3 linked regions of the Drosophila melanogaster genome follow. The protein of the gene in region 3 interacts with the protein of the main gene of each other region in a pairwise test. Each region holds a gene or a part of one and is shown on either strand. Other genes may lie near its edges. The genes, in order: CG11007, CG14042 and Cys.

Region 1 (3,744 bases), on a different chromosome or scaffold from region 3:
TAGCGCGATTATAAAGCCGGCAAGTGATCGCCATTTTGTGCCACTTATCAGTTGCAGTTGTCATTGTTTTGGTTTTGCCTTTTTTTTTGTCATTTCCACACACAAGCCTATTTGTTTCCAAGCTCTACGGGAAGTTTCGATGGGGCTGGGAAGTAGATTTGTGTACTTGATATGGCTATCAGAGCCCTGGATCTATAGACCAGTTTTGCTTTTTAGCCGCAGCCAAGATGAAGGGCTCTCGTTCCCATCACGAGTGTCCCTGTACTCAAATGGCTGACAATCTTACGAGACTTTATTCCAAACCAGATTAATCCGGCTGCCAACACACTATAGCATGCTGGCAAAGGCATTTGTGATTATAATATTATTAAAAACTGACCTAAGTGCACGTTGTTTACTGAAATTTTCACTTCATTTTTGTTTTGGCGCAGACAAGGTGCAAAAGCATCAACACCTTAGATTTGACTTTGATTAGTCATGATCTCGGATTTTCGAAATATTTTCTGTATTGATTCCCTATTTCATTTCTATCAAGTTGTACAAAACAGTGCACTTGAAAAAATCTTATTTTGTTTTAAGTTAATTGTTTTTAATATATTATTACCAAAGACACTAGAATTCTTATTCTATTGTCTTATTCTAGTGTCTTTGTTAATACTTTTTTTACTATAAAGTGAATGATTGGTTGAATTTAAATATAAAGCCACGAGAAAGTTGTTTGATTCGATAAGGAGGTTACTAATAACACAGTTGAAAATATTCTATAAATAGAAGCAAGCTCACTTTATTTGCCAGTGTATTGAACATAAAATAATCGCTGTATAAACAAAGAACGGCCTACTAGTGAAACCAGTAAAGAGGTGGGTGATCGATCCGATGGGGATCATGGAGATGACCCTCGTAAATTGGTCTCAATAATACGATTAAAAATAAATCGTTTAGTCCAGTGACGCGCACAGTGTTTACTACAAAAAAATTAATCTTTGCACAACGCGGAGAGTCAGCCACGATGGCGATAATACTGGTGATGCTCTATGAAGTGGGTACAAAATTCTCACAGTATTCACACAGTTCCAAACACATTTAATTTAGGAACTACAAAAAAAAAGGCCAAAATAATATTTGGGTGATAAGGCGACTGATGGAAGCCACGAGCGTCTGAGATCACGTAGAGAGCCAAGCTTTTTCGCAGATTTGAACTCGGCGTGTGTGCCGATAATGAAGATCCTCGATGCCTTTTTTTTACCTTTTTTTTGCAGTGGCCTTTGTGTGCTAGGTCAACAATCTCTCAATGACTTTAGCAAAATGCTGATGTAACAATAACTCGCTTATCAGTTTCGGTTGGTTTTCGGGCAAACAAATATGGTTGTCCCAAGTTCTGTTTATGGTTTTAACTTTTGATTAATTATCATTTAAAAAAAATGCTAAATACTAAATACTAAATACTTGTAAGATAATAATGCATATAAGTAAATAAAACGTATCAAAGAACGTTTAAGAAAGGCAAACTGTTAATTGATGATTTTGAATTTGAAAAGGCGCCAACGAACTAATACCATTTCCAGCACTGACAAGAGTGCCACTGTTCTTTTATCAGGTGGCAACGCCCGTGCCAGACAACTAGGCTGCTAATTTCTAGTCAACGGCGAGGCTAAAATTAACAATTGGCTGTCAAAAGCAAGAAAAGAAAAACTCGGGAAATTGTTAATTAAAATCGTGACCCAGATCAGCGCATTCAGCCCCCGGACGCAGAGATGACGTGGAAGAAGCAGATGGCTCTGCTGGCCAAGCCATACTACTGGGTTAACATACTCCTGGCCATATCGTACCTTTTGGCCAAAAAGACGCAGTTCATCTGCACCCGCCTATTTATTCTCGCCGGAGAGGATGAAGCATGCGACCTGGACAGTCGTGAGGTGGAAATCTTGTTCTTCCTGCTAATCGTGGTGATGATACGGTCACGCAAAACGGGCAGTGTCACCATGATTAACTACTTGGCCTCGTCGTTCCTCTACACCAAAGTGGCCAACGCCATTTTGTGGGCCTACGCGGACTTCCGCTACGGCCTGGGCTTTCTGCTTCTATGCGTCCTGGTGGGCATGGTGCTGCCGGAGCCCTCGTATCGCGGACCCGAGCACATCACCTACTTCCGCAACGCACAGGTCTTCGAGGAGGAATTGGCCAGGGACAAGCGAACCAGCTGGCTGATCTGCTTCTACACGGTGTGGAATCCCAGCTGCGTGAACTTCGCCCCCGTTTTTGCTGAGCTCTCCGCCGAGTACAACACGGACCACCTGAAGTTCGGCAAGATTGACATTGGACGCTTTCCGGACGTGGCCCAAAAGTATCGCATCTCGGACAGCAGCTTCTCCCGACAGCTACCAACTGTGATCCTGTTCCAACAGGGCAAGGAGACGGACCGCAGGCCCTGCGTCGATTCCAAGGGTAAACTGCAAAAGTTCTTCTTCTCCAGCGACAATGTGCGCGCCACCTTTGGCCTTAACCAGCTGTACAAGGAGGCCATCGAACGACTACCCATTGCGCCCAAGGAGGCCAAGAAGGTCCAGTAGGCTGTCCTGTCCACCACTGGTGCCATCTCATTTCTGCGTGCACGTGCTAATAACTGTTATTCGTTTAGTTCATAGTTTATTTTAACTTATTGAGGAGCTGCCACCGCCAAAGACACGTACAATTGCACTAATATTTGCATTCTAAACTCAGACGTGCTCTCGTCGCGATGCCATTGTAGAAAATATTTGTATGATCTTGCATTTGCATAAATTGTAGCTAATCACCAGGTACCAAATATATTTAAAAATGTGAAATGAGTCAACGAAAATACGCAGTTCTTTTTTAATTCCCAGCCGAGTCTAACATTTCATTCAATTAGCACAGCTCAAACGATCATTTCCGGTGCTCGTTTAAGAACAAGTAAATATTAAGATGGACTGGACAAGCGTAAATTGAAAGAATGTAATAAAGAACTTACGCTGTATACAAATAGCTAGTAAAATAGTGAAAATATAGAGAATGAATATATAGTTTCAGAAAGGTGCCCATACTGGTTTTCGGTACAAATGTATATAAAGTGTTTGTGACAACCCACAATTTTATGACATATTTATTGTATTTTATACGTTCTGACTTGCCGCTTAAAACAGAAACCTTCGTCGTATCCCCCCGGTTTATGAAATATAAAACCAAATGGGCCCGTTGTTGCTGCCAATGTGTTGAGCAAAATTGTATGGCAATGCAAATGGCACAACAAAAATGTTTCCGGCGTGTTGCGTTCTGTTCCGAAATGGCCCCGCAGACATCGGCCATATAGACAGATCGTATATGGATATATATATATATATATACATAAGAACCCAACAGGCCAGACGCAGAACGAAATAAACGCAAATCCCTTTTATCCATTCAATATGAACACACATACGTATAGAGAAACGGACGAATTTAAATGCATAAATACAGGCGACTGCACACCAATCACCACCCACCGCACACCGCCCACAACCACCCCCCACAGATGTGAGCAAGGCCTTTGTGGTTAATATTTGTATTTTTCTTTACTTTCATTGAAACGGCATGAAAATGGCCATTGCATTTTACGTGAATTGTATATGGTAAATAATGCGATTGTCTCACACGGCCGTTTTATTTGCGGAAAATTTAAATTCGCCATGGCAATTGGGACAAGATTCACACCGTCCTGAAGTAATTATGGGCCACTCTGTATCG
Region 2 (3,759 bases), on a different chromosome or scaffold from region 3:
GGATCTTTTGCCCTGGACACCGGCAGTGCCCTTGCTCCAGTTGGGATGGAAGTGCACGGTCCGCGAGTTGGGTCCTCTGAGCACCACTTCCTTGGAGCGGTGCCGCTTGCTCCACGTCCAGTTATCCTCAACGCCATTGGGCAGCGGACAGAAACGGGGTGGCGGCGATGTGGAAGATGATGCATCCAGTGAACCGGACGACAACCCTCCTGTTACTCCTCCTCGTCGACCGGTTGGACGACGTCTCCTCGGGGCAATTGCCGCTATGGGATGGGGGTGAGCCTGCTGTGGATCCACTTCAACATCAGACATTGTGTTGCGACTAGAAATTTTTTCGCTTCTCAATTTGTATCAATTTGACAAAGGGAACCCTTCGAACTGTTGGGAGGGGGGGGGGGGGTTAAGTTTTCAATAGGGTTGGCTTCCTGGGGTTGATGAGCTTCTCCAGGTCTCAAAAGTTGTTGAAATCGTTCAAGGAGCGGCTTCAGGGGTGGCGTCTTTAGCTCGTAGTTGTTTGTTCTTTCGTTTCTCTGGTGGTTAACTATGTTATACAATTTTTTTCAATACATCTTTATAGCATAGTTTTTATGAAGGGTTCTTCAGTTCTCCAGACGAACTCCAAGTGGATGATTCTTTATGCAAGGATGAGACCAAGAGGCGTTTATCTACAAGTAAGTGGTTAGTAGGGGCTGTTGGATATCCTCCTGCGGCAGGTCCTGCAGCTCCGCTTCCTCCTCCAGTGGAACGTCCTCAATAATATCCTGATCGAAGGACGCCTCCTCCTGCTCCTGCGATCCAACGCTGGTCAGTGAAGCGTAACCACTGCTCAGGGAACTGCTGCTCCAGCTGGCACTCAGTCGGACTGGACGATAGCTTCTCGTCGGTTGCAGTTGCTGCTGCTGCTGGCCAAGAGTCCGCTTTAGCTCCCGCTTGATTCGGCGAATCTGCCGGAAATCCTGCTCACCACCGGAACCCCTCTGCCTGTGCAGCTGCAGCTCCTGCAGATGGAAGTGATGGCGACAGTAGCCCTGCGGACTGTGAGCACAAAATCGACAGGCCTCGGAATTGAGGCCACCAACGAGCGGAAGGATTGGTTCGAGGATGCGACGCTTCTGGCTGCGCTTCTGTTGCTCCAGCTGCTGCTCCGCCAGGCGCTGTGGCGCCTTACGATCGCCCACCGTTTCGGCCACCTCCTGCAGCAGGCGCACGTTCCTCGGGAAGCATCGGTCGTGGACGTAGAGCACCAGGCGTTGGCAGTAGAGGCACAGCGATTGGAACAGCAGCAGCAGGACGATAATCATAAATATGTAGGGGTGGTGGTGTGTCCTCTTCCTTTTTTTTTTTTTTTTTTTTGGTGGGGCGGAAGACTGCTGCTTCTTGGGAGTCTCTGATTTTGGTGGTGCACTTCCCGTTGGCTTTGTGGTCTTGTTAGTTTATGCAAATTTCACGCTGCTTTCCAAACGAGAGCTCGCAATTTTCACTGTTTTTTTTTTCGAGGTACACACATTTTTTCCGTCTTGCTGCTCCTCCACACCTACAAAAAGCAGCTCCTCTTATCTGGCTGAAGTTACAACTCCCACCGACGACCGCCTCCGCTTGCGTCCAAGTCACACTGGCTTCTGGCACTTTTTTTCCAACTCACTTTTACGATTCCAACTTGAATCGCCCCACAAAGGCCTACCCTTATTTTCCACGACCTGCTTCCAACCACCAATTGGACTTTGTGCGCGTGTGTGTGTCTGCATATCATTATCATATGGCTCGGTCCACCCCACTTTATGCCCCGCAAACCGTCCACGGCGACCCCAATCGTCATCGCCACCCCCTTGACAGCTAACCAACCCCCTCCCCCACCGCAAATCCGCACAAAGAGAGGCAATGGCATGCGCACAAGTGCACGAGGTGAGTTCGCTCTCATCCTTGGCTTGGCATTGCTTTTTTAAGGGTTCTCCGCGACGGGGTTTCCACCACAATAGCCTACCCTTAGCCCTGGTCTTTTGAGGAAGATCTTATCACTCAATGTTAGGGGTAAAAAGTATGCAGTATTTGTCTTGCAGGAAGTTTATCACTGAAGGGCATACGATTTTTTATCCTCAACAATATTTGCTCTAAATAGGCTTGTATGAAATTGTGGTCGTAATTTGTATTTATAAATTTTAGTTTATTTTAAAACGATATGCGACAAGTTTTGTATAGCAGTTGAGGATTCGATTCGTTCGATATTCGTTCGATACCGCGTTTTGTTGCATTGTTTCGCATTTAATCGGTTTCAAAAATAAATGGAACATGCTGGCACATAGTTTATTTTATACTTTTGGACATACGACCGAGGCTAGTTTATTTATTTGTTTCATTTACTTAACATACGTAACGTAACTTAGAAGCAGTTTACATTTGTTTAGAACATTAATTGGCAGATAAAAAATGGCATTGTGGTCCAGGTCGGTCGGTAATTAGCACTTCGACTTGTGGATCCGTTTTTTTTTCTTTTTGGTTAGATTAAGGAATTTGTAGCAGTGTTGGTTCGTCGGTGTATGTATGTGTGTGTGTGTGTTGGTTTGTTTGTTTGTGTTTGTGTTGTGATCGTGTGGGTGTGCACACGATTCGTTGGTAATTTTAAGGCTTTACATTTAGATTAAACTTATGCTCTGTGCTGTGGGTGTGTCTGTGTTGGGATTGGAGGTCCTACGAGGAGTTCTTCATGCACACCTGGCACCTGGACACATGCGACTGCCGCTCGCCGGCCTTGATCGTCTGCTGCTGTGGCCTCTCGAACGGCTGTGAGGACTCCAGGTTGTACATCCAGAAGCTTGTCATCGTCTCATAGAAGTGGCACGTGCCCTTGGCGCCGTTGCACTCGATGAAGGGCGTTGCACGGAAGTCCTCCAAACAGGAGCCAGGCGATTGCAGCGCCTGTCCACCGCCACCGTTGCCCACGGCAGTGTGCTATTATAGGAAATGGTTGGGTTAATATTAGCATCATTATAAAAGAACTATTTAAAATCCCACAAGTAGTTAGGAATAAAGGTTGAAAATTAAAACTATTGTATCAAATCTTTCGCTACGCAGTATCCAACAGATGGCGCAAGAGTGTCGTTGGAACGTGCGCCATCTGCTGGAAAGCTAGGGAAACTTCGGAAACGCATCCCTTGTGGATTTTGAAAACTCTCATCATTCTTCTATAATCTAACGTTATAAGTGTTCCGATACTCACCATGAGGAAACTGTAGCCAATCCAGAGACCCTCCCAGCCATTCGGACAGTCGGGCACCTCTATCGTTTGACTGTGCACGGCGATCACATTAGCCGGCGCCTCACAAACGACGCAACGTGAGATGTACTGGCGGATCTCGATGTTTTCAACGGGCATCATCGGAATGGCGGCGTTGGTTGTCAGCCAGAAGGTCTTGTCATTTCTGGAGGCGTAGTTGCAGACGTTATTCTGACCACACGACAGTACGGGCAGCGTTGAGAAGCGTGGCACACAGGATCCGGGGGATCCAAGGTCCTGGTTGTGGGCATAGTCATTGCCATCGACGTACAACAGGGAGTAACCCGTCCACAGTTCCGTGTGTCCAGCCGAGCAAGCGGGCACCGTTTCCGATTGACTGTGTCGCGTAATCAGGATACCGGTGAGATAGTCCAGAGCAGCGGGGGCTGGAGCACCGGGCTCACCCTTCTGGCCGATCAAACCAATGGCGCCCTCATATCCCCTCTCGCCTGGCTCTCCGCGATCTCCCTTGGGTCCGGGTCGTCCCA
Region 3 (2,983 bases):
AAATCCCGCAGCAGTGCCTCAAATATGGTGGATGACTATGAAATCATTTCTCCAGCTACTCATCCGCCAAATCAGATCAGCTCCAGTCCCTTGCACATCAAACAGGAGCAGGAACAACAACAGCGTGTTCAACTTATGTACGATGATAACCTACTGATAGATGCTGCTCTGCTCAGGGAGAAGACTTATGAGAAGTTTAATCCGAGCATTGTTAATGATCTGGAGGAGATCCTCCGCTCTCCACTGAAGCACGAGAGAAATTCTCGTCTTCGCTTTACCAGCGAGTCATCCACCACGCCACAATATTTGCACGAAGAGGAGCAAAACCTTATAAAAATTGAACCAACTTCTCCGGATCTGCGGGAAATGTTGGAGGGTCAGCAAAGAGTCATCGCTCATAGCGGCAGCACTCCTTCGTCCTCTTCATCTGCTAGAACTTCCAGACATCTGCGACAAATCACTGCCAATGGTGCACGGGCAGGCAGCAAGAGAACAACAGGTGGCGTAGCCAGCAAGACGTCGGCATCCCCGGGAGTGGTGGCCAAAAAATCGAACACTGCCACCAAGGTGAGCAGCAGCAGCTCATCCTCGTACCTCTCGTACGGGGTGGATTCCTACAATGTAAACGTACCTGCCAGTGCCAACAACGGCGATGTGGGCAGCGGATTCTTTTCCATCTCGGAGGTCGTTTCCGCAGCTGACGCCGCGGATGCGGCTGCTAAAGCGGCGGCAGCTGGTAAATCGGAGCGGAAAACTCGCAGTTTCGAGTGCGAAATGTGCTCGGCCATCTTTTATGATCGCACCCAGCTGCTGGAACATGTGCACATTCACATTTAAATGGAAGCTACCTAAACCACTCGCCCGGAGCCTTGTATTTTTGAAACATCTTATCCTTATATACAAACAAAATCGGAGTAAATTACCTCAAGGTATCGTGCATCGAAAAATATCGTTGATTTATGCGTTATTTAAAATATGGAACCTAAACCTATTATAGAGAGAATAGTTCGTAAGGCTTTTAAGTTTGTACCTCAGCTTTTGTTTTGAAGAATTGGTATGCTGGAATAAATACATCATTAAATGGTTTTTCATTACCTTAAATTTTGCTATCACGTATAGATTGAATCTGATTGATAAGATGGGCTCATGTAACCTTTTCTGATGTTTGAAATCTCTCCTAGAAATCTTAAATTTTCTTGGAAACTGCGATAGTGGCATGTAATATACTTTTTATAATTGGTTAAATGTTTATAAACTTGCACATGTGGGTCTTAATACATATCGACTGACCTTTGTAGTACATACTCATAGAAACACTGATAAGAGCATACCGGAAGTCTGTGTGTAATTTGAAGCCATGATTATATGTTTTCATATGTGGTGTACGGTGACTTGTTTTCGGCTCATTTGCACAGATTTTCAATTAAAGCCGCAACTGCTAACTGAAGTAGAGATCAAAACGATTCTCACAGAAAAGCGGCTTTCGCCCATCTGATAAATCAATTAATTACCGCCAATGAGCCGTATTAGAATATAAGTAAACGATTTCATTTGCATATGCATATTTATTAATCATGGAAATAGATTCTTATTTAAAGGGGGCGCACCTTTGAATATTGACTATAAATATTTGAATATTGACTATAAATATTTGGATAGTAGCTGCGAAAATATCAGGACACGTAGATACCGTAGTTTATGTTCTAAAAAAAAATATTTCGAATCTTAAAACTATTTTTTCACTTATTTTGCCTTTCTAAGCAATTTTCTTAAATATTGTAAACCCCGAGTGAGGTTCTGGTTATTGATAGTTCTGATGATGGGCCAGTCAAGTCTTGGATCGATGGCATAGAGAGCCTATTGTATTTTTCCATTGTTGATCTCCCACTGAGATGGCAGGTATAAAATGGGCCACATCGCCGGGTGTTCATCAGTTCTCTCAGAGTCGTCGAGCGAGCAACATGAACGTAGTAAAATCTTTGTGTATTTTGGGTCTGGTTCTCGTCAGCTTGATTGCCACCCAAGCAGCCGATGAGCAGGTGGTAGGCGGTGTCAGCCAGTTGGAGGGAAACAGCAGGAAGGAGGCTCTGGAACTTCTGGATGCCACTCTCGCACAGTTGGCCACCGGAGATGGTCCCAGCTACAAGTGAGTTAGAACTGAGTTCCGAATTTAAAATTCATACTAATTGATCTGCTGATCTTAGGGCAATCAATGTGACCTCTGTGACGGGTCAGGTCGTAGCTGGAAGTCTTAACACCTACGAGGTGGAACTTGACAATGGATCCGACAAAAAGCAGTGCACCGTGAAGATCTGGACTCAGCCATGGCTCAAGGAGAACGGCACCAACATCAAGATCAAGTGCTCTGGTGACGATGGCGAACTGGACCGCACCTGGTAGAAGATTCTTCGTGAGAATTGCCCTGAAAGAAATAATAATAAAAAAAAAAACAAGATACACGTGATTTAAAAAATGATTTTTGATTAATTTTCGGGGAACTATTGTTGCAAAGTATCCAATATATTGTTGGGAAAAATAATAGGAGTGTATAAATACTTGATTTGCTTTGTTTACGTTCCGTGCTAACCAATTCCCATCGCTAGGCAATTACACACATACTATACATATACATATATAAGATACTATATATTTATTGAGATAACAACCATAGAAGCTTTCACTCCAACAAAAGCTCCAGAAGCTGACTCACAATCGGAACGGAACAGAGTGATATCATTTCATGTTTTGGTTTTGGTTTTGTTGAGTTTTGCTACTATCGCCGCCATGTCCAACGTTCCAATTGTAGGCGGGATCAGTCAGCTGGAGGGGAATGAGAGGAAGGAGGCTCTGGAACTCCTCGATGCCACCCTCGCACAGTTGGCCAACGGAGATGGACCCAGCTACAAGTGAGTTAAGGCTAAACTCGGTCTAGAGCTTGCCACTTATTAATTGATTTTACTCCAATTGAAGGGCACTTAATGTA

What was found.
Region 1: the proteins of Cys (region 3) and CG11007 interact in a two-hybrid assay, tested with the Drosophila melanogaster proteins (one large-scale study listed by BioGRID).
Region 2: the proteins of Cys (region 3) and CG14042 interact in a two-hybrid assay, tested with the Drosophila melanogaster proteins (one large-scale study listed by BioGRID).

Annotation. Positions count from the first base shown.
Region 1 is NT_033778.4:19,501,434-19,505,177, forward strand, and holds CG11007 (uncharacterized protein), read left to right. Parts: upstream 1-1,634; 5' UTR 1,635-1,754; coding exon 1,755-2,570; 3' UTR 2,571-3,161; downstream 3,162-3,744.
Region 2 is NT_033779.5:5,035,664-5,039,422, reverse strand, and holds the start of CG14042 (uncharacterized protein), read right to left. Parts: upstream 1,715-3,759; 5' UTR 1,302-1,714; coding exon 666-1,301; 3' UTR 313-665; coding exon of another isoform or gene 1-312. Other genes in the region: SP555, read right to left, coding at 1-312; Col4a1 (collagen type IV alpha 1), read right to left, coding at 2,686-2,946, 3,215-3,759.
Region 3 is NT_033777.3:14,568,587-14,571,569, reverse strand, and holds Cys (Cystatin-like), read left to right. Parts: upstream 1-1,925; 5' UTR 1,926-1,961; coding exon 1,962-2,146; exon of another isoform or gene 2,147-2,204; coding exon 2,205-2,400; 3' UTR 2,401-2,467; downstream 2,468-2,983. Other genes in the region: CG7987 (uncharacterized protein), read left to right, coding at 1-837; CG8066 (uncharacterized protein), read left to right, coding at 2,785-2,906, 2,971-2,983.